Linked DNA regions of Styela clava. The protein of the gene in region 3 interacts with the protein of the main gene of each other region in a pairwise test. Links are inferred from orthologs where the notes say so. Each region holds a gene or a part of one and is shown on either strand. Other genes may lie near its edges.

Region 1 (7,957 bases), on a different chromosome or scaffold from region 3:
AAGCGTATATTAACCATTGCTTTCGCTTTCTAGAACAATTTCCCCTAAACATACCCCAAAATGAATATTTCCCGTACCTTAAAGCGATTTCCCGTCATTCCCGCTTTTTGTGAAATTTCGCGCTTTTTAGTGAAATTTCCCGTAGTTCCCGTCATTCCCTTAGTTCCCGCATTTTAGTTTTTGCAATTTCCCGTCGTTCCCGCAGTTTCCGCATTTTAGTGCATTTCCCGTAGTTCCCGCCGTTCCCGTTTCCCGCATTTTAGGGTTGCCCCAGAAGGGGCAGGCCTTGTCAGCTTGTTAATATGAATAACATAATAAGTATAAGTTTGTTTCGACTCCATAATCAGCATAACAATACATTTGACAGATAAAAACAAATAAATAAAAACTGATTATGAAATCAGGGGAGCAAACAAAACCTTATTTAAGGTTTATAACGTACAAAATATAAGATGGAAGGTTTTGCCAGGAGGAAGTGGTACGTGTTTACTCACCTAAAATTATTGAGTTATTTCACACACGCTCACATGCACCCCCCAGCCACACACACACACACACACACACAACCACTGAGAAGTTATTTAAGTAAGAATAAAACGCGATAAATTTAGGGCATACTATAGAGTAAACAAAAATAAATAAATAAATACTAGAAAAGAAAATAAAACTATTTGCCACACCATATTGATAATTTTGTAATTGTTGCCATTGCCAAATTGATCGATCTTCTAATCGTTAATCAAAATATAAAAGTAAGATTCTGTTGGAAACATATTGCCAAACTGATTATAGTTGGAGTCAATCAAATGCCAAGTTGCCCAACCAAAGTTGCCAGAATTGGGTGCATGAAGAGGTGGGCGAGACCATTTCATTCCCAAAATTAGAGCCTATTATTGCCAAATTATAGTCCAGATTGTAATAAGTAATTAAAGTTAGATTGTTATTTCACAGGATATCGGAGTCTTTGTTTGATCTTTTCCTTATGTGTTTTACTTCATTTAATCACTTTGAAGTAACCTGAAAAACAAAAAATAAAACTGTGAGTAGATGTTTCAATACCAAAGTTACCCCAGCCCACACTCGCTCAGCCCACACTCAGCCTGACATCAAGGGGTTAACCAACTATTTTACCATTTTATAAACGTTAATACATAAAAACTTGGTGGCTATGACAATATAGAGACCATATTGGATATACACAGCGCAAATGCAATACCAAGCACGGACCAGTTACCCCTAGTATGGCCTGTCAAAAACGAGTGTGGGCTAGCGTCTCACGAGTGTGGGCTAGCGTCACACGAGTGTGGGCTGGCATCCTACGAGTGTGGGCTAGCGTCACACGAGTGTGGGCTGGCATCCTACGAGTGTGGGCTAGCGTCACACGAGTGTGGGCTGGCGTTCTGACAGTGTTATACGGTAAGTTAAGGCATCCTAAACGCTCACAGATTACTAAATTACATATATCCACGTTTACCTCAGCACCAGAACCTCTCAGAGTCCGGCAATTGATAGCACAAAATGGCCACAAATGCCGGGAAAATGATTCAAAATCAACTGAACAATAATATCTCTAACCAGTGTTACCAGATATGACGGTAAACAAGCCTGAAATTGACCGTCGAAACTCAAAAATAAGAAAATTGAAATTTAAGCTAAGTGTCTGTTCTTTTTATGAAAAAAAAATGTAGTTATGAATAAACCATAATTGATTTGCACAAATACATCTTGTATAATAAAAAATAAACATGATGAAAACATTTCACCAGCAGATACACATTGTCTCGAAGGCTTTTGATGTCGAAATTCAACAGTTCATCGAAAAGAAATCAACGAAATGTTTACCACGGAATTAAATTATCATAATATACAGTATATGATCTTACAAATTTCAAAAAATTTTACCGTAGAGAAAGACTTCAAATTTAAAATCAAAATTAGCACACTCGACCGTTATCAATATTTCGCGGTAATGGTGTTCAACGTCAAATTTCAATTGTAAATTGAAAATGATCCTATGGTTTGTTCCTTAAAAAATTGAATAGTCTCATTACATAGTATTTCATCTAAAATATATTAAAAAATAAAAAAATTTTACCGTCGGGAAAGACTTTAAAATTAAAGTCAAAATTAGCACACGCGACCGTTATCAATATTTCACGGTAATGGTGTTCTACGTCAAATTTCAATTGTAAATTGGAAATGATCCTATGGTTTGTTCCTCAAAAAATTGAATAGTCATATTACATTGTAATTCATCTCAAAAATATCAGAAAATAAAAAAATTCTACCGTCAGGAAAGAATTTAAAATTAAAGTCAAAATTAGCACACTCAACCGTTATCAACATTCGCGGTAAAGGTGTTCCACGTCAAATTTTAATTGTAAATTGAAAATGATCCTATGGTTTGTTCCTCAAAAAATTTGATAGTCATATTACATAGTATTTCATTTAAAATATATTGAAAAATAAAAAAATTTCACCGTCGGGAAAGACTTTAAAATTAAAGTCAAAATTATCACACTCGACCGTTATCAATATTTCACGGTAATGGTGTTCTACGTTAAATTTTAATTGTGAATTAAAAATGATCCTATGGTTTGTTCCTCAAAAAATTTAATAGTCATATTACATAGTATTTCATCTAAAAAATATTGAAAAAGAAAAAAAATTCTACCGTCGGGAAAGCCTTTCAAATTAAAGTCAAAATTAGCACGCTCAACCATTATCAATATTTCGCGGTAATAGTGTTCCACGTTAAATTTTAATTGTAAATTGATCCTATGGTTTGTTCCTCAAAAAAATTGAGAGTCATATTACATAGTATTCCATCTAAAATATATTGAAAAATAAAAAAGTTTTACCGTCGGGAAAGACTTCAAAATTAAAGTCAAAATTAGCACACTCGACCGTTATCAATATTTCACGGTAATGGTGTTCTACGTCAAATTTTAATTGTGAATTGAAAATGATCCTATGGTTTGTTCCTCAAAAAATTGAATAGTCATATTACATAGTATTTCATCTAAAAAATGTTGAAAAATAAAAAAATTTTACCGTCGGGAAAACCTTTAAAATTAAAGTCAAAATTAGCACACTCAACCATTATCAATATTTCGCGGTAATAGTGTTCCACGTCAAATTTTGATTGTAAATTGATCCTATGGTTTGTTCCTCAAAAAATTTGAGAGTCATATTACATAGTATTTCATCTAAAATATATCAAAAAATAAAAAAATTTTACAGTCGGGAAAGACTTTAAAATTAAAGTCAAAATTAGCACACTCGACCGTTATCAATATTTCACGGTAATGGTGTTCTACGTCAAATTTCAATTATAAATTGGAAATGATCCTATGGTTTGTTCCTCAAAAAATTGAATAGTCATATTACATTGTAATTCATCTCAAAAATATCAGAAAATAAAAAAATTCTACCGTCGGGAAAGATTTTAAAATTAAAGTCAAAATTAGCACACTCAACCGTTATCAACATTCGCGGTAAATGAAATCTTTCCTGACGGTAGAATTTTTTTATTTTCTGATATTTTTGAGATGAATGACTATGTAATATGACTATTAAATTTTTTGAGGAACAAACCATAGGATCATTTTCAATTTACAATTAAAATTTGACGTGGAACACTATTACCGCGAAATATTGATAATGGTTGAGTGTGCTAATTTTGACTTTTTTTTAAAAGGCTTTCCCGGCGATAGAATTTTTTTATTTTTCAATATTTTTTAGATGAAATAATATGTAATATGACTATTCAATTTTTTGAGGAACAAACCATAGGATCATTTTCAATTTACAATTAAAAATTTGACGTGGAACACCATTACCGCGATATATTGAAAACGGTCGAGTGTGCTAATTTTGACTTTAATTTTAAAGTCTTTCTCTACGGTAAAATTTTTTGAAATTTGTGAGATCATATACTGTATACTATGATACTTTAATTCCGTGGTAAACATTTCGTTGATTTCTTTTCAATGAACTTATTAAATTTCGACATCAAAAGCCTTCGAGACAATGTGTATCTGCTGGTGAAATGTTTTCATCATGTTTATTTTTTATTGTACAAGATGTATTTGTGCAAATCGATTATGGTTTATTCATAACTACATTTTTCTTCATAAAAAGAACAGACACTTAGCTTAGATATCAATTTTCTTATTTTTGAGTTTCGACGGTCAATTCCAGGCTTGTTTACCGTCATATCTGGTAACACTGGTTAGAGATATTATTGTTCAGTTGATTTTGAATCATTTTCCCGGCATTTGTGGCCATTTTGTGCTATCAATTGCCGGACTCTGAGAGGTTCTGGTGCTGAGGTAAACGTGGATATATGTAATTTAGTAATCTGTGAGCGTTTAGGATGCCTTAACTTACCGTATAACACTGTCAGAACGCCAGCCCACACTCGTGTGACGCTAGCCCACACTCGTAGGATGCCAGCCCACACTCATGTGACGCTAGCCCACACTCGTGAAACGCTAGCCCACACTCGTTTTTGACAGGCCATACTAGGGGTAACTGGTCCGTGCTTGGTATTGCATTTGCGCTGTGTATATCCAATATGGTCTCTATATTGTCATAGCCACCAAGTTTTTATGTATTAACGTTTATAAAGTGGTAAAATAGTTGGTTAACCCCTTGACGTCAGGCTGAGCGAGTGTGGGCTGGGGTAACTTTGGTGTTTCAATGATTGGGTGAAGGGGAACGCGCTGAACTATTTATTACATGCAAGGGATGTATTGCCATTATACTGTTATATAGCGATGGATAGATGATCTATGATGACATTCAGTACCGGTATGTCGAATTGCACTGTCTGTTGCTGCAGTTCTCTGTATTCTATGAGTTTAATTTTTCAATTGTCAAGCCATATTTAGGTTATTTTTCTATTTAGACTTTAACTCTATCCAGCTATTAGTAACTTATCTGATGGTCCTGTAATGAAAGCATGGTGATCTAACTTTTGGAAATTATATTTTACTGTGACAATTTTTGTATGTATTGTGGCTGTGTGGCGCAGTGATAAACATATCATGTCATTAACAAAGTTCATCAAAACGATATTCCAACCATCACCTACACATCATCATCCACCACCTCTTGATGGAGAAATTGTTTACAGCAAAAACAATGTATGTGTTCATCCTCAAGGTCTACTAGCAAGCTCTGTAGAACATTATCCAGGTATGCACTGTTATTTAGGGCCATGTTCACCACACGAGTACCGCACTTCTAGTTGGCGTGGCACAACTACTTTTCAGCTCTTGCATATGTTATTCCTACCCCCACCTGACTACATCATTCAAAAATTAAGTCACTTCGACGTCACAGTAACATACAGAGTAACTGTCATTCAGGACGCACAGACAATCACCCGAAATGGAGTAATCTATTTCTCTCATACTCTCGTAACGATCCCGATATGAGGGAGATCGCTGGGGTTACTGAGTTCATTATCGTTGGCTAAGATATAATTTCGGGCGATTGTACCTATACTTTGGCAAGCCTTATGATGTGGTTGACGTAATTTTTGGGTGGCATAGTCAGGTGGGGGAGAGGATTCACATGTGCAAAAATCGTTATACTACGCCCACTAGAAGTACTTAAGGTACAAAACTACATAAGACCCCAAACTTTCATATTTGGCAATTACCAATTTAATTTGAAACTAAAAATTAAACCAAACCCAGCTTATTCGCTCTAAACAAGGCTGTGTACAAGCAGCTACTGGTAATTCAGTAATTGTAGGCCATTTTACTCACAATTTTAACTTATTACTTTCCATTTTTAAGGTTATCTAACAGTGTTTGCGAAAGTTTCTGGCGACGCGATTTCTCTTGTGCTAAATTGGATACCAAATAAACGATTGAAACATGGTGGAAACCCAGTTCAAGATGCAGCAGTTATCCCGATTCATTGTGAAAGTTTAACATGCATCAATGATATAAATCCTGAGTTACTAATTACTGCGGATTCTGGAAACGTATGATGACTGATATTATTTTTATTGTGTTATTTTATAAGGCGGTAGCCGCTGGGATAATTTGTGTGACTGATGTCAATATTTAAAATGCTTGGCATAAAAGATTTCTTGTTGAATACTTTATTGATTGTGGGATAATATTCCACCAAACTCACATTATTATTTTTTCTATAAAAAGGCAAATTGTTTAAGTAGATTTTCTTTTTTTATTTTGATGAGTATTCATTAATCATCATTTTGAAAAATACTTTCTAGTAGTAAACCTTTGTTATGCCGTTTTTTTATATTTTTAAGAACATTAAGTAATTTAGCTTAATAGGTATTTAACACTTTTATTCCGGTAAGCTGGGGGGTTACACGAGCCTAACTACATGTCCTTCCTTTTTTATGCCCAAACACAGGACGGTAGACTCATATGTGTAGAATGCTATAGATAGAATAAAGATAAATATTTTATATGATTTGAGCATCATGATGCACACTAACTGAAATACACTTGAGCGGACTTTTGAATTATATAAATAACTTTTAGTTTCATCATATTTCCAAAAATTATCCTTTTGAAAAATTTCATATTACTATTTTGTTTCTAATTTTAAATTGCTCTATTTTGTTCCAGAATATAAATCACATTGGAAATCATGTAAATGAAGATGGCCATAATATTGCTAGTATTGAAACTAACTTCAGTTTGTCTAATCCACAACCACATGGAAATGTAAGGAAATACAGTAATGGGAGTGCAGATTTATCTGATGTCAGCATTTGCAGTGGTAATATATATTTGTTTTTTTTATATTGGGCGGTATTAATTGGTATATGTAGTTTGTATGCATCACTTGCAAGTATATAATTTTACATATCAACAGGTAGGCTGAAAATATTTTTTTTGCTAGTTTTTCTCATTTTGTTATGGTTAACGTCAGTTTTTTGTTACAGTGAAACCCTATTGGCTTATCTAATTTCTATTGAGAATGTAAGACATTGGACTATTTCGTTCTTTGCTGTGACATTAGCCCAATATTCCCTAAACTGTACATCAAGACACAGTAGCGCATGACAAGATATCAAACCAAGTTCTAATTTTATAATAAGATTACAGTTAATTCTGTTAAAATCGATGTCTAGAGAGAAGTTTTTGAAGTTTCACCCCTTTTATGATAGCTTCATGTGCACAAAAACAAGCTCACATATTGCATTGAAATATGCATATATTACGAAATATTTCCTTGCAATTACAGTAAATGTCAAAATCAAATTTTGTATCTAATGTGTCACATGTTTTATTGCAAAAAAAACAAAAGTGAATATACTATGAGTTTGATAGTTTGGGAACCTTAAAATATTCCAGACCAAATATTTATTTTTGCTTTCGAAAGGTTCAACAGAAGGTCCAGACTCGAATCTTTCTGATGATGAAATTGATGATATAGATCCGGATGACATTGTTTTACTCACAAGGCCTCCACTTATAAATCTTTCGAGTACAGAACTCCATGAGATACAAAACAAGAAAGTCTCCAAATTTATGTATGAAAACATCCAAATTTTTAATGATGACAAAAAAGAGGACATTGAAAAACAGATCAATGCTAAAGATGAATTGCCTTTGCCTAAAGATGAGGTAAGAATTTTCTATTTGTGTTGAATAGAAGATAATAAACACATAATGACACAATCTTCTAATGAATGAACTTTATTTTAGGATCATCCGATTTCCCCACCTGTTATATATAACATGCAATTTCCTGAAAATTCAATCAGTTATGTTACAAATTCTTCCTCAAGTTCTTGTCCATCAAGCCCACTGCCTTACAGCAAAGGTCGAGTAAGACGACCTGCCAGAGATCAAGCTTGCGGCGTTTTTACTGTTGATCTGGGACAAATGAGATCACTACGTCTGTTTTTCAGGTAAGATGTTTTCAATTTTTTTATAATTTTAGATTTAGAGCAGTG
Region 2 (7,220 bases), on a different chromosome or scaffold from region 3:
GGTTGTAAATGAGGTTTAAATCAAATAATACTTAATAATGAAATTTGTTTTCCATATTTTTGAAACAATGGAGACTTCCTTAAAACGCTATGAATACATCTTTGACAGGACTTTGTCCAAAAACATGGTTATAGTAACTCTGACACAAAACATTTTCCATTTCCTGGTTTTTATCATATAAAATTACAATACAACAACATTTTATTGCTTCACTGACTGGTAAGTTGAGTGCTTACAGTAAATCCAAATTTTTTTAACAGCAATATTTCCTGAATGACCGAAGCTTGAACTTCATTTTAGATATTTTGTTACAACTGAAATTCACACATATCGTATGTATTGGAATGCCTTCACTTCATGAGGAAATTCAATACAGAAAGTATTTTTATCATAAAAACTCTGAAGATGTAACAACAATAATTGACAGTATTTTGTTAGACATTGACAAAAGATATGTAAGTTTTTATTGCATTTCATAACTACATTTTTCAAACATCTTTTAAATATAAGTTAACATTTTCAGGAACAATTCTCCGACCAGGATAAGTTTTGTCACTTTAATATGTTCAATCACTATTTCATTGATGAAAGTTTTGATAAACTGCGTAATTTTGTAGAGAAATCAGAATCACATTCAAGGATATGTTTGGTATTGGATCCTCCCTTTGGTGGACTGGTTGATGCCATTGCAAATAGTAGGTTGCAAATATTTTTATGTATTTAAGCAGTGTAGATAAATGTTTTCTCACAAATTGTTTGTGGTAGGTTACTAGATTACTTCTTTAGGTTACTTATTGAACTTGCAAAATTCTGAAGACCTTTTGTGGATTTGAATTTATTATTGTGTTGTGTTTCAGCTTTGAAGTGGATAAGTTCATGTAGTTTTCCTGAAAATTCAAAGTCCTCTAAAACTGAAAATTTGCTGCCAATATTGTGGATATTTCCATATTTCATGGAAAAAAGAATAACTGGAGCATTGCCATCACTACATATGCTTGATTACCAGGTATGGTCAGCTATGCTACGCTTTGTTAGTTAGATAAACGGAAACTTCAGTACATACTTAAGTCTATTAAATTACAAAAAAATCTTTGCAGGTGAACTACAATAATCACAATAAGTTTAAGAAGAAAATCACAAGCACTAGAATATCACCTGTAAGAATTTTTACCAACATTAAAACGAATGACATAGTGTTTCCAGTTGATGAAGGATACAGGTTAAAAACATTTTTTGTGATACCAACCTATTATGATGTTCCTTAGTGATCTTATCATGCACTTAGAACAATTGTCTAGTTTTGTAAATTAGCATCTGGATGGAATTATCGCTTTACATTTTACTTTTGTGACCTTATTTGCAGCAAGCTTTACAGAATTGATCATTTATTTTAGGTTCTGTTCTCGATGTGATCGATATGTTGCTGAATCAAATAAACATTGCAAAATATGCAATAACTGCCCATCAAAGGTATTGCCTTTTCTATTCAACTGATCATAATATACTGCATGTCTGCATACTATACTTGATAGTATTAATGATCTTGTTTTATATTTTTAGGATGGGAGAACTTATGTTCACTGCAATGAATGTAATTTCTGTGTAAAACCAGGCAAGTATCATTATCATCATTATACTAGGGAGGGAACTCATTGCATGAATTTCTGCCCTTTCTTATTTGTTAACTTGTATTTTTAGGTCGGAAACACTGCAAAAATTGTGAACGTTGTGAACTGGATGGCCATGAATGCAGGAAAACTGGATATCTGCTAGGTTGTCATCTATGTGGGAAGTTGACTCACAAACGCAGAGACTGTCCTTTAAAGAATAGCCAAAAAAACAATGATATATTACCAGCCAAGACTATAAAAACCAAAGCAAACCATGCCGTTTTTCACAGAAAATCCTCACATTTGAGGAAAAGGAAATATACGTTTTCTTGATGTCAAGACTGTAAACTACTATATTGCGACTGTGGATATTATAAGAATTCGAATATTCTAAATTGTTAATTATGAAATCCTTCACGTTACATTGAAATCTTTGTAGAATAGCATCATTTTTCTATGAGATCTTCCATTTTGAAAAATCGATTTGTCCTTTTATTGGGAATATGGGAAAATAATGAGGTAGGTCTCAATATACTGTAAGTTGAAGGTGTGCGAAAATAATTCTTGACCAAAAAGAAACGGGTGCTAACCCTATCGTTCATGGATATTGCGCTATTAATATAATTATACACACTTCTCGTCATTTTGATCGCAAGCGAGAAAAGAAAACACAATCGTTATTGAGGGTTTTGTCAGTCGAAGAATGAAAATCTTTGTGTGATATATTTTTACACCACATTATTTCGAATCTACCACAATTGGCGATTATTTATTATTAAACTTAAATTATTTTGTTTATTACTTGATCCCTAGACTTGCGGAACGCTTGCCAATAAGCATTAACGATGACTTGAGGTATGATAAGCTTCAAAAGACATAGACAATCGAGGGTCTTGCAATTTTGATTGCCGTGTGTGGATTGCGACGCTGTTGGTTGTTGAGCTTTGTACGGTAATCCGTACATTTTTGTAATACCGATGCGTCTTGCAGTCCAGTGCGCCTTACGTTTGAATACAAGATCAACGACATAATCACACTTTTTCTTCTGCTCATCCCAGGATACCATATAATTTTATTATTTTAATTTACATTGGAAAATCCATGACATGGTAAAATGGCTTCTCTTTGTACCTTATCATTACCTATCCCACTGTACCTTTATACCTTTCTAATCTTCTGGCTGAAATGCAACCATAATAGGTTTTGTGGAAATGCTTTTTATTAATTTTTTTTATTTTTTGAAACTTCATCGTTTTTGGCTGAATCCAGAATTCCAAAAAAAAAACTTACAATAGTGAGTCATTTGATACATATCTTTATCATATTTCACCAAAACCTGTAGGGTCACATTTTCTACAGGGGTGGTGACTTCTCTACGACCCATGGGCCGCGGCCACGGCCCATCTAATTGGGCCACATGGGCCGTGGCCCATCAAGCTATGGGCCGCGGCCCCATCAGGAAAAAATTCAATTATCTTACCGAAATTTTCAATTTTTACAAAATTGTCAATATTCGAACCAAAAAATGAACTCCTGTAGTATGTGTACCAGGTTAGGGTTAGGGCAAAATTTTGTTCAGATTTTTTACATTATAGTTCTATTATGAGTTTGGGGACTGTTTGTCTTAGCCAAGTGAATAGTTTCTTTACACAACTTGATGGGCCGCGGCCCATAGCCTGATGGGCCGAGGCCCAATTTGATGGGCCGTGGCCCCGGCCCATGGGCCGAAGAGGAGTCACCACTTCCACTCCACATTTTGGCCAGAACAGCCATAGACCACTTATAACACTGTCGCCCTTGAGTGGTGCATACCATATATGTACACACCCTTTAAACTTGACCATTCCCGCGTTTTATAGTATGTGGTATCATCACTCAATGGTGTTGTACATTCATCCAAATTCTTAATTTTTTTTTATTACTATAGTCATATGCAGTGTTTCATGTTGTGTAGTGTCTCTATTTATAGAAGTTGTTTTGTCTAACAAACTCCTTTGTACAAACAGTTTTGTACACTCCACCCTTATCCCTGTTAGCGCATCCACCCACCCTCCTTGCACAACTGCCTGTATAAAGGACCATATTGTACATATTTGATTTACCCTATTATAATTTATATATATCAAAAGGGGTGTATGCCGCACATTTGTGTTTCAGGCCAATATGGTCTTGTGCATACATCCCGTCTTCAGTATTTATAATTACTTACTCTTTTATATTGCTTTTACGAGAGGAATAAACATACATACATACATACATACATAGACTAGCCTGAAATTCTTTACCGGTACTTTTAAAAAACAGATTGTTGTATGCGATGAATCATAATGATGTTTTGAAACACATACCCCATTTTACAGGCGCCAACTTGCAAAAGCACTCCTAAAATAGCCCCGAAAATTTTGCAATGGTAAAATATGTGAAGAATTTTTCGGGGGTCAAAGGTCGGGGAAAGGTCCATTATATCATGGTCAGTTAACCATGATTATATTCAACCTGCAAAGAAACACTGCCGCTGACGCCGCCAGCGGCTCGATTATTTGCTGGGTATTAATGAATGCCTGCAGCGGTGGCCGGTGTATAGCTGTATAGAAGTCGAAGATAGCAAAGTGAGTCACTTTGAGAGATAGGTCAGTAGGTAGTGTAATCTAGCACTGTGACAGGCGGACTTTTACTTGCTAACTTTTGTCAATATTTCCGTGGACAAAGACCGCCTCCTAGAGAATTACCGTCGGAACAAAATGCATGATGCATACATTTATTTACCGGTCCTGAAGAGTCTACCATTGGCTATTGAATGTATCGCTTGTTGGGGTGAGTTGAAATATTATTTTTGGTAACATCCCGGGATTTCTGTGTGATGGTGTGTTGATTTTTTTTTTGTATCTAGCGAAGCCCAATATAAATTATCAATCATAATTATAAGGTGTGAATGGTACATGTAACTGATCAACAAATTCAGAAATTATTGCAAAATACTGAAATAACATTTAAGACTGTTTAATGATGAAGGATGGCTTCATCAGGTCTGGTTGGATATGTAGATATCTAATCAGTAAGTTGTTCGAAATGCATTGACTATTTTCAGCATTTGACATCTGGTCACTGGGCCAGCTGAAAACAAGCTTATTTAACTCTTGACACTATCGGCAGTGTTCCCTCTAAGGTGTGCGCGTATGCGCGCGCACACAGCTTTCAGAGGCTGTGCACACGCATAGATTTACTGCGCACAGACGTATTTCGATGTAATGTAACAATGTTCTTTTGTTCTTTTTTCACCCTTTATTTGAATTCAAATAAAACCATCTGTTACAATCAATTTCATTTATTATTTTCCATGTATGTTCATTGTTATCTACTGATAACATATAGCCTTCACTAAAGCATTTCCAATCTACAGAAAAACTTATTGAATAACCAGAATTTTCTTAATAAGCCCACCTATTACCCGGTTAGAACGCCAAAATTTCTTCATTGGTTTTTGCACAAATATTAGTCATTTCCAGAAAAGTGCGCACACACCAAAATTTCGGCGCACACATACTACAAAAATTAGAGGGAACATTGACTATCGGTATAAATAGAAAGATGTCAAAACAATATATATGCCAAATATTCTGCATTTATCAAACTCAATGCTATGAACATACAAAATTTATTCAAATGTCTCTGTTACGTATGGCCGTATTTCATATTTAGAATATATTCAATAATCAAAAATATTATTTCATAGTGTAATCAGGATAGTAAAATTAGATTTGGCTTCCACGAGTGACATAAATTGCATCAGCTCACTGATTTAATGAGTTCTGCTATTTGTCTTATGTAGGAGAAGAGAAGCTATTCAAACAGAACAGATTTTCTATAAATGATGGAGATGTGTCAGAAAATGATAACTCAGCACCAGATCTCCCTAAAGCAACTTTGTTGGTTGGAACAAAGCCAGGACATTTGCTTGTTTATAGTGTGAGAATAATATATTCATCTAGCAAACATATGGGATTTTGACATTATTCTGCTGAAAAATTATTATTTTGTGGTTTCTCTCTCAAATTAAGTGATGTTTGAATTTGTTGTTTTTAGATTAGATGAGAAATGTACAATTTCATTTCTGTTATCTTTAGTAGTGAATATCGTTAACCCGCCTTGCCCAGTTCTGTTTTGAGTGATGATTCTTTTATTTTTTCCTGAATTTAATGCAATAGGGAAATGGCCAGTTCGGTTTGCAAAGTAGAGCTTTGCTTATAAGCTACTTTTGCAATATTGGCTGTTTGATAATTGGGAAAGCCCATTCTCTGATATACACTCCTCAATTAACTATCTAAATCTGATAAGCCTACCTAGTATTTTTAAATTTTTTGTTACAGGTTGAACATAATCCAAATGTACATAACAGAGCTGAAGTAAAGTTGGAACGATCAAATAGAACATTTTCAAAGAAACCAATTCAACAATTATTTGTCTGTGTTGAACTTAAATTAATATTAAGTTTGTCAGATTCCATGGTTTCTGTTCATGATTTGACAACATTCCAGTTGATAACTACCTTACAAAAATCTAAAGGAGCAGCTTGTTTTTCTGCTGATCTTGAGGTATTTTTGATTATTAACTTCTGTGAAGTAAATAAGATAAATAAAGATAACTCATCAAATCATTTTAACATAACAAATTATGATGGTTATTTAATTTGAATATTTCCAAATGATGTTGATATGTGGCTAATGATGGATTTATTCATATTTTTGTAAATTATTACTTTAATTATAAAGCCATAATATCTACAATCAGAATTCAGTTACGGTAATTTAATTGCATCCTTTAACAAGTTTTGACCATTATCCACTGAATACTGATTAGCTGTTAGCTCTGTAACAATGTGCAAACATAGAAACAACATGATCTTGAAATACAAACTTAAAATTTATCAGTCAATTTTTATATACAGTCACGAACATCCTCACAAGGTGAAACTGCTCACACTTTAAGATTATGCATTGCGGTCAAAAGAAAACTACTACTTTATTTTTGGAAAAATCGGAGTTTTCATGAGCTATGTGTGAGTATGGCTTTCACAAATATTTGTTTAATACGCCTAAAAACACGGGAAATTTATATCTCTGAACTAGTGGTAGGCTTCCAATAATTTCATCAAGGTTGTGGTATTTAAATGGTAAGGTATTTTTGTTTGGACCATGTGGTCTTCTTTAGCTTTCTAAATAACAATATTTAAATTCTTTATAGTTATTTGTAGAGAATATATATATATATACACTAGTGATATCTACCGGTAACTATTTATTCCATTTTTACAGCCAGATATCAGCATGCCTGAGATACCAAAATGTATGGCTTGGTGTCGTGATTCAGTTTGTCTTGGTTTCAGAAGAGAATATTTCATGGTTACAGTGAAAGCAAATTCTGTTCCATATGAATTATTTCCTACAGGTGAGATCAATGTATTAAGAGTGGGTGGATTGTTACTCTAACTCGTTGTAATACTGCGAATGCAAATTTTGCAGTACTACTAATGGTGTTGACTTTCAGGGAAGCTCATGGAACCAGTGATGACAAAATTAGATGAAAACAGATTAATTTTAATGAAAGATGATA
Region 3 (7,342 bases):
TCCTCTCCTTCGAGATATATTTGTAAATCCTATTCAATTCTAGCTTCAACAAAATCGACGACTGCTAGCAATATAGCGACTCCAAGTGGAAACTGGTGGGAATGGTGGCGAAGCACTCGTACTCCAAGATATATCGCTCGTACTACAGAAGGAAGAATTTACCCAACGTCTTCACCGAAGATAAAGCATATATCCCCTCATGGAAGAAAAGGTAGGAAGGATTGGCGATTTAATTTTTTTTTTTCTTTGAGGGGGGAGGGCTTTTCACTCTCTCCACTTGGAACAAGGCACTGTACAAACAACGCTGATATGTTTAAGAGTTACCATATTTTAGTAAAACCGGGATTCTTCCGGATTGGCATTTTGTAAAATATCATCACACTGAGGTTTTCCGGAAAGACGTCAATTGGGGAAGTAAGACGTGGATAAGTAACCTCACAAACTGTCGTAATACGCCAGTTTGACTTTGTCTGAATGCCGTTGCAATGTAATAAAAATTGATGGATTTGTCTGACATTCATGGTTATACATTGTTAAAAGCGTTAAACGTAATTTTTAGGCCTTTGCAAAGTGGATACTACAAATAGTCTTCAAACTCATTATTAGGTTGGAAATACCATGTGTTAGACGTCGTAATATCAGTGTGGGCTTTGTAGAAAACTGACATCTACGAATAGATTCAAACCCAGAGTTATATTGGACGTAAATACTAAAATAAACGTCAATGGGTGAACTAAACACTAAACAGCTTTCCGGAAAACCAGGCGAATCGCTAAGCAGTATTTTACACGAAGTTTTTTTTGCCTTTCACTTCGAGTTACAAGTACCACTGACACTAGGACTTACTATTTAAAAAAGAACCGGAATCAAGTCCATGCTTCCGAAAACAAATACCTGGCTAACTAATCCCATACACGACATGGACTGGTAACCGGACGAGAGGCCGTGGTTTGCCATGGGATTAAGCCATCTGTCTCATCGTTCTTGTTCTCTCCGGGGTAGTACGTTAATCTTATCCTAGTATTGGTTTCAATTCTAATCTTTTTGGTTTGGGATCGCTCACCAACTTTATTATACTCCGGGTGACATGGTGGACATGGGATTTGAATCTGAGATTTTGAATCTGCGACTTCTACACCAGTGGTTTCTAACATTCTAGGGCGCGTGGCTTATAGATCCCCCTATTCATCATTCCAGTGTTATTACTTATAGATTTTAATCGGTAAGTAGGTTGATAGGTATTTGTCTGTTTGTCTGTTAGATGCACGCGATATCTCACGAATAAGAGATTGAATCTGCTCCGGATTTTGCATGTGCATTTATCTTATCAGCCTATTGATTTGGCGCGAATAATGTCGTATAATTAGGGAGTTATTAATTAATTAGTGATGGGACACAAGATGTCACTCAAACAGCGTTTCACACTCCTAAATCCAGCGTTTAATCACAAGACTTTTGTATTTAGTCACAGTGTCGTCGACAACTGCAACAACTGGTCAAGCAACTCGTTTATCAACGACCAGCTTTATTCTGATAATTCCTATTTTACAATTTTTTTGCCTTTTTTATTTATAAACTTATGCTAGAGTTCGTTTTAATTGCTAATAAGCTAGAAGTGCAAAAATGCGAGAAATTTAAGAAACTGATCCGCTGACCATTAGCTACTGATATTATATTTCAATATATATATGTAATAACTCAACACTGAGCCCATACTATTCATTTGAAGAGAATCCAATAAGATTTTATGCATATCATTATTATATTACTGGCAATACGTTTCCATGTTTTAGTTACCAAATATATATTTATTTTTTTAATCTTGTACTTTTATGAATGGGCGTCTACTACAATATTTGAGAAATAGGTCGCAGGATAAACCACTGTTTTTAGAGACTTAGAGAGCAGAGATTTGGACGAGCCAAATCGGGCAAAGTCAGATCACAATAATCACGTGGGGCGACCAAACGGCTTAGTTACAACAACTTCGAGTCGTTGACTCTGAGGTGGGCTCAGGAAGTGTGGCGCATCGAGCTAAGGGTAAGGAATACGCTCGCCACCGCACCTATGATTACCCTGCGTGGGTTTGCAGGTTCGAATCCCATGTAGGGATGAGAGAAAGAACTCCTGGATGTGAAAAAGAATTCCTCGACTCCTCGCCGCCGTAGGGTGCTTCCCGTAATCGCTGGCCGGTCACGGGTTCTCCCATCTGAAAACAAATGACTGGCGAACTAATCCCATGCCTGACATGAACTGGCAATTGGACGAGAGGCAGGCTTTGGTTCGCCATATGATTGGGTCGTCTTGGCGGCTTTCCTACCCCCATGGATTAATATGTAAATTATATCCCGTATTTGACTCCATTCCGTGTCGAAGCGCATTTATCTTTTGCAAAAATCGTAGAAGAGCCGGCCTTGTGCCACTGCAACCAATGCGGCCGCAGTGGCACGGCTCGTGAAGTTAAGTTACCTAAAAAAAGTAAAGACAAATTTATTTTGTATCACAAAATCAGAATTTTCAGTTATTATCCATATCACAAACTAAACTTGGGAAGAGCATTTTAATTTGCATAGTTAAACCGTGGTCATATCAGATTCAGATATTTTTTCACGACAATACACATGTAATACGGCGCGGCGGTGTGGCTCAACGGGCTAAGCGTTAGGAATACGCTCGCCACCGCACCTCTAACTACTCTGCGTGGGTTCGCAGGTTCGAATCCCATGCAGGGATGGTTATGTGCGAGAGGATTGCTGGATTCCTCGCCGTCGTTGGGTGGTTCACGTAACCGCTGGTCGGTTACGGCTTCCTCCACCACCAAGTCCATGCTTCCGAAAAGAAAAAGAAAAATACAGTAAAACTAATCCCATACCCGACTTGGAATGGTAACCGGACGAGAGGCCGTGGTTCGCCATATGGATAAGCCGTCTTGTCGGCTTTTCTCTCCCCCGGGATAAATATGTAAATGTTCCTATCCTAATAAAAAAAAAACGAAAAACATTTCGACTCCTAGCAGTTGATGAGGGGTCGCGAAAGAATCTCTCGAATCTTCTGTTGGCGCTGTGGTTTGAAGTAACAATTGAAATTTCTAGTGTAAGCGAGACCAGCTTGTTTTTCCTAATCACACATGCTTCAAAGCAATACTATTTGGCAACGGTATTTTAACGTCGTCAATACGATTGTCACGTCACGTAATTCTTGGTGCATGACGCACGCAACGTCGTAGTTATTAGTGGTTGGAGTCATCTATTGCATGGATGTAGAAAGCTATAGACTGGTACCGCTAACCGGGTTAGAGGCCACAGGTTATTTGAACTTTAATATCGGCTTACCTTTTGGAAATAAGAAAATTCTATCTCATATTATATGTCGTTTTAAATGTCTTGAATAAATGAGTAACCCAGCACAGCATTGTCAGTTTTCGATCACGCTCCTTACACCACCACAACGTATGTTGCTTTGTGAACTGCGAAGGTCTGGTTGATGGATTGCCTTGCTTATACCAATCGATTTTCGCTCAAATAAACAATTTTAATCCCATTTTAATGAGAGATAAAAAGCTGTTAGCGTTGTTCAAATATTCTGTTAATATAGGACGGCTTATGTATTGTAATTATCTCATCAATAGGACCCCGTTGCGCGCATGTCTGCGAGCATTAATGACCGGAAACAGGCAAGCTGTTGTGTAACCAGTCTGCCCATGGGAAACACACTTTTTAAAAATGATTTGTGAGTCACGCAGTGTTAATTTAATGTGGTGGCATCAGGTTTTGTATTCAAAGAGTCGTTAATTGCATAAGATATAGTCTAGCCTGTTAAGGAAAATGCGGGAGAAACGCTAGTTTCCGAATTTGTAAATTGGCTCGTGCGGTCACAGGCCAACTGTATCAGAAGTCTGGCAGTTGCTACACTCTGCTGCTCTGCTTTAAGGCGAGTCAACACACACTGTTTCTTCTGGTAACAACTTTTAATTTAAATTGCTGAATTGTCAGATTGTGTATCTCTTAAAGTCCTAATAATACTATGCCAGTAGGTATGTAATCAGTTTTGATATTCATTTTACAGTTTCACCAGATGTTTTGCAACTTATGCAGTTTTGGAGTGTAAATAATCTTATGTGTGGTAGGCTATACATACACTAAATGTTTCCAGACACATGTTTATTCAGTGAGATTTTGAGTTTCTAACACAGTAGACTGGTAGAAGTCAAGTTTAATCTATCCGCAGAAATAGTATCGCACTCATAGGTAAAATCTGAAACTTGATCTCTTTTTGTTATGATAAAAAGCTTATTATAAAAATTTTTCCAGACTTCAAATTTAGTTTAAATAATCTTGGTGATTTACGTATCCTCATTAGAATTGTCGTATTTTTTGAATTTTGCAAAATGTCGTACGCATATTTGTTCAAATATATTATCATCGGAGATACCGGCGTCGGAAAGTCGTGTCTTCTGTTACAATTTACCGACAAAAGATTTCAACCTGTCCACGATTTAACGATCGGTGTCGAATTCGGCGCTCGGATGATCACAATTGACGGAAAACAGATAAAACTACAAATCTGGGATACAGCAGGCCAAGAGTCATTTCGTTCAATCACAAGGTCATATTATCGTGGAGCCGCAGGCGCTCTACTCGTTTATGACATCACAAGACGTGATACTTTCAACCATCTGACGACGTGGCTAGAGGACGCTCGACAACATTCCTCATCTAATATGGTTATCATGTTAATTGGAAATAAAAGCGATCTAGAAGCTCGGCGTGAAGTCAAAAAGGAAGAAGGTATAAGGATCAATATCTGTTTTTTAAATTTTTCTATGCGACGCTTGCTAATTCGAATGTCGTTTTTTCTAGTTTTAAGCCACCAAATCTAATGCCAACCACCTTACACACACTGTCTTTCTGAACCTGGCATGGGCAAACTGCAGCCCATGGGCCAAATCGGGCCCATTGGATAATTCAATCTGGCCCGCCTGATGCTTCCACAGCCAAACTTAGATATATCAGCTAAAAAATAGCTCAAGGAATTTGTTAAGATTGCGATTAAATTATTGGCTTATTGTTTTGCTTTTGTAACTCTGCAAGTTATGTTTATAAAATGTATTTTTTTACACAAACTTACATGGCATATAATGTGCATAATTAGTTACATATACATATTTTTAGTAGGACTTTTATTGAATAATTTTTTTATTTTTAGGAGAAGCGTTTGCACGGGAGCATGGTCTCGTATTCATGGAGACATCTGCAAAGACAGCGGCAAACGTAGAAGATGCATTCATTGATACAGCCAAAGAGATTTACGAAAAAATTCAGGAAGGGGTTTTTGACATCAACAATGAAGCAAACGGGATTAAAATTGGCCCCCAACACTCCCCTTCATCATCAGGCCTTTCAGGGAATCGTCCCCGGCAACAGAGCGACGGTGGGGGATGCTGTTAAGATTTCCTCTCATATTAAAGTGGTTAAAATAAAGACTTACTGACAAAATTAGCGGGATTTCTTTTGCAATAGCATTTTTAATGTATAAAAAGGCTTTAATAATGATGTTTAAGCCAACCCTGCTTACTGTGCTACCACCAGAGTTTCTTATAATTGTCTGTTCTGTGTTGGGTTTTATTCATCCATGTTTGAAATAAAAAAATTATGACATTTATAAAAAGTATGTGTCTGTGGGACCAACTTATGCTTTTGCACTGGTGGATTTGTAATGCAAGGAGGCTGTAACAATCAAAGATCGCTATTCTAAGACATTCAAGAATCTTGCTGCACAATTGACAATTCATACTTTTACTTTAGAAGTCTAAAACTTTGTCCTGGTTTAAAGGCTCCCGATAATCAAAAAAAATTCCACAGTTCTTTCATTTATTTGACTCGACTGATTCCAATATATTCAAATTTTTTATATTTATCAGGAAAGACTGCTTAATTATATAGCGAATTACACCCTTCGCTCCAGTTAATGTCACGAATAAGAATTATTAACCAATTATAAACAATAAATAGGTAAATCTAGCAAGATTTTTTGACTGAGTTGGTGGCATGTTTCATTATTCATCTGAGAAACTCTGTGTGGTTTGCAAAACGGTTTTAAGTACGTGTCCACTGGCCTTTGTATATATTTGTTTCTTGCACTATTAAAGTTTCCTTGTATAAGTCTATATGTCTGTTAAAATGTGGAAAACTTTTCTTACAATTTGCAGTCCTATCTGTTTTCGTGGTAGCACTGATTTCAGTTTGAAATATTGGTATTTCGCTTAATTTAGAGATTTAATTACATTTCTGCATTTAGTTATATTTTCAGATCAATACTTAGTCATGGTAGCGCTGTTTTTCTTATGAGTTTTAAATCCTAAAATAAAGATGCCAGTTCTGCTTAATTTAATTGGTTGAATTTTTTTTGTTCGATCTTGAGAATTTGAAAATGTGACCTGAGAGAAAAACTTTGCTGTATGTAGGATATATAATATTATCCATATAAAAATGTTGACTTTCTGCCGTACTTTCCTTTTTAATGCTATAAATAAAACTGACTACTTTCTTTCTATGTGATGTAATAATGTTGTAAACACTGTCAGCTGTCACTAATATGTGCCGAGCTGGGGTGCAGGACTTATACAGGACCCTGTTCAAAGTAGATTGGTCAAAAATTCAAATTTTTTGAAATTTATTTTGAAAAATTAGAATTTTATTTATGCATTGACATTTTCAATGGCTGCCTAAGCGACTTCTACAGGGCTTACTTTAAAGCCAAATGTTAGAGAAATGAATAAAAACATGAAATTTGGAAAATTCAAAATCAAGTTTGAAATTGAAATTCTACTTTTATATTGACATTTATAATCACAGCCCAACTAGCCTAGTTTCGAGGAAAATTTGAAAATATGAATAACAATGTAGAAATTCAGAAATTTCAAATTTAGTTTGTGAGATAAGTTACTATACTGTTTTTAAGTATAAAGCCTATAGTCTCTCTAGTGGGCCATCCTATGTAAACCATTTCTTCATTTATGCCTATATGTTGTCTACTGTATAAATATCCCTTGGTACGTCTGATTTATGCTAGACTTTATCCATCTTTATCAGTTTTTGTTATACTAATTTTTTTTGATCGTTGGAAATTTTGTTCTTTAATATCCAGGGATGACTGAAATAAGTGCTGTTGTGTTCAGAAAATGTTTCGGCGTTCATTAAGAATAAATCTTGGGTGACGAATTTTTCATATATTGCAGGGGCTCTATAAAATAAATAGCTTAATATGGTGATATTTTCCTGATCCTTACATTTTAAAATTGGCAAAAAATAACTTTGTTTTTTGGATATAACTTAATTTTTTG

The links.
Region 1: the proteins of ras-related protein Rab-2A (region 3) and TBC1 domain family member 16-like interact in a two-hybrid assay, tested with the Drosophila melanogaster proteins (2 studies listed by BioGRID). The link is inferred for Styela clava from reciprocal best matches to the Drosophila melanogaster genes Rab2 and TBC1D16.
Region 2: the proteins of ras-related protein Rab-2A (region 3) and vam6/Vps39-like protein interact in a two-hybrid assay, tested with the Drosophila melanogaster proteins (2 studies listed by BioGRID). The link is inferred for Styela clava from reciprocal best matches to the Drosophila melanogaster genes Rab2 and Vps39.

Annotation. Positions count from the first base shown.
Region 1 is NC_135259.1:9,676,546-9,684,502, forward strand, and holds the start of TBC1 domain family member 16-like, read left to right. Parts: upstream 1-4,891; 5' UTR 4,892-5,051; coding exon 5,052-5,202; intron 5,203-5,810; coding exon 5,811-6,001; intron 6,002-6,620; coding exon 6,621-6,774; intron 6,775-7,380; coding exon 7,381-7,625; intron 7,626-7,706; coding exon 7,707-7,912; intron 7,913-7,957.
Region 2 is NC_135253.1:11,146,249-11,153,468, reverse strand, and holds the start of vam6/Vps39-like protein, read left to right. Parts: upstream 1-4,112; 5' UTR 4,113-4,351; coding exon 4,352-4,424; intron 4,425-5,439; coding exon 5,440-5,576; intron 5,577-5,977; coding exon 5,978-6,202; intron 6,203-6,555; coding exon 6,556-6,666; intron 6,667-6,922; coding exon 6,923-7,055; intron 7,056-7,154; coding exon 7,155-7,220. Other genes in the region: rRNA N(6)-adenosine-methyltransferase ZCCHC4-like, read left to right, coding at 261-455, 524-695, 858-1,006, 1,098-1,219, 1,395-1,470, 1,561-1,612, 1,699-1,943. UniProt on the Drosophila melanogaster protein: Part of the homotypic fusion and vacuole protein sorting (HOPS) tethering complex involved in endo-lysosomal vesicle trafficking and lysosome biogenesis.
Region 3 is NC_135257.1:22,261,156-22,268,497, forward strand, and holds the start of ras-related protein Rab-2A, read left to right. Parts: upstream 1-4,281; 5' UTR 4,282-4,387; coding exon 4,388-4,787; intron 4,788-5,205; coding exon 5,206-5,447; 3' UTR 5,448-7,342. Other genes in the region: uncharacterized protein LOC120346693, read left to right, coding at 44-211, 1,466-1,575. UniProt on the Drosophila melanogaster protein: May be involved in bidirectional endoplasmic reticulum (ER) to Golgi trafficking. Together with Rab7 involved in promoting fusion of autophagosomes and endosomes with lysosomes, probably through recruitment of the HOPS tethering complex.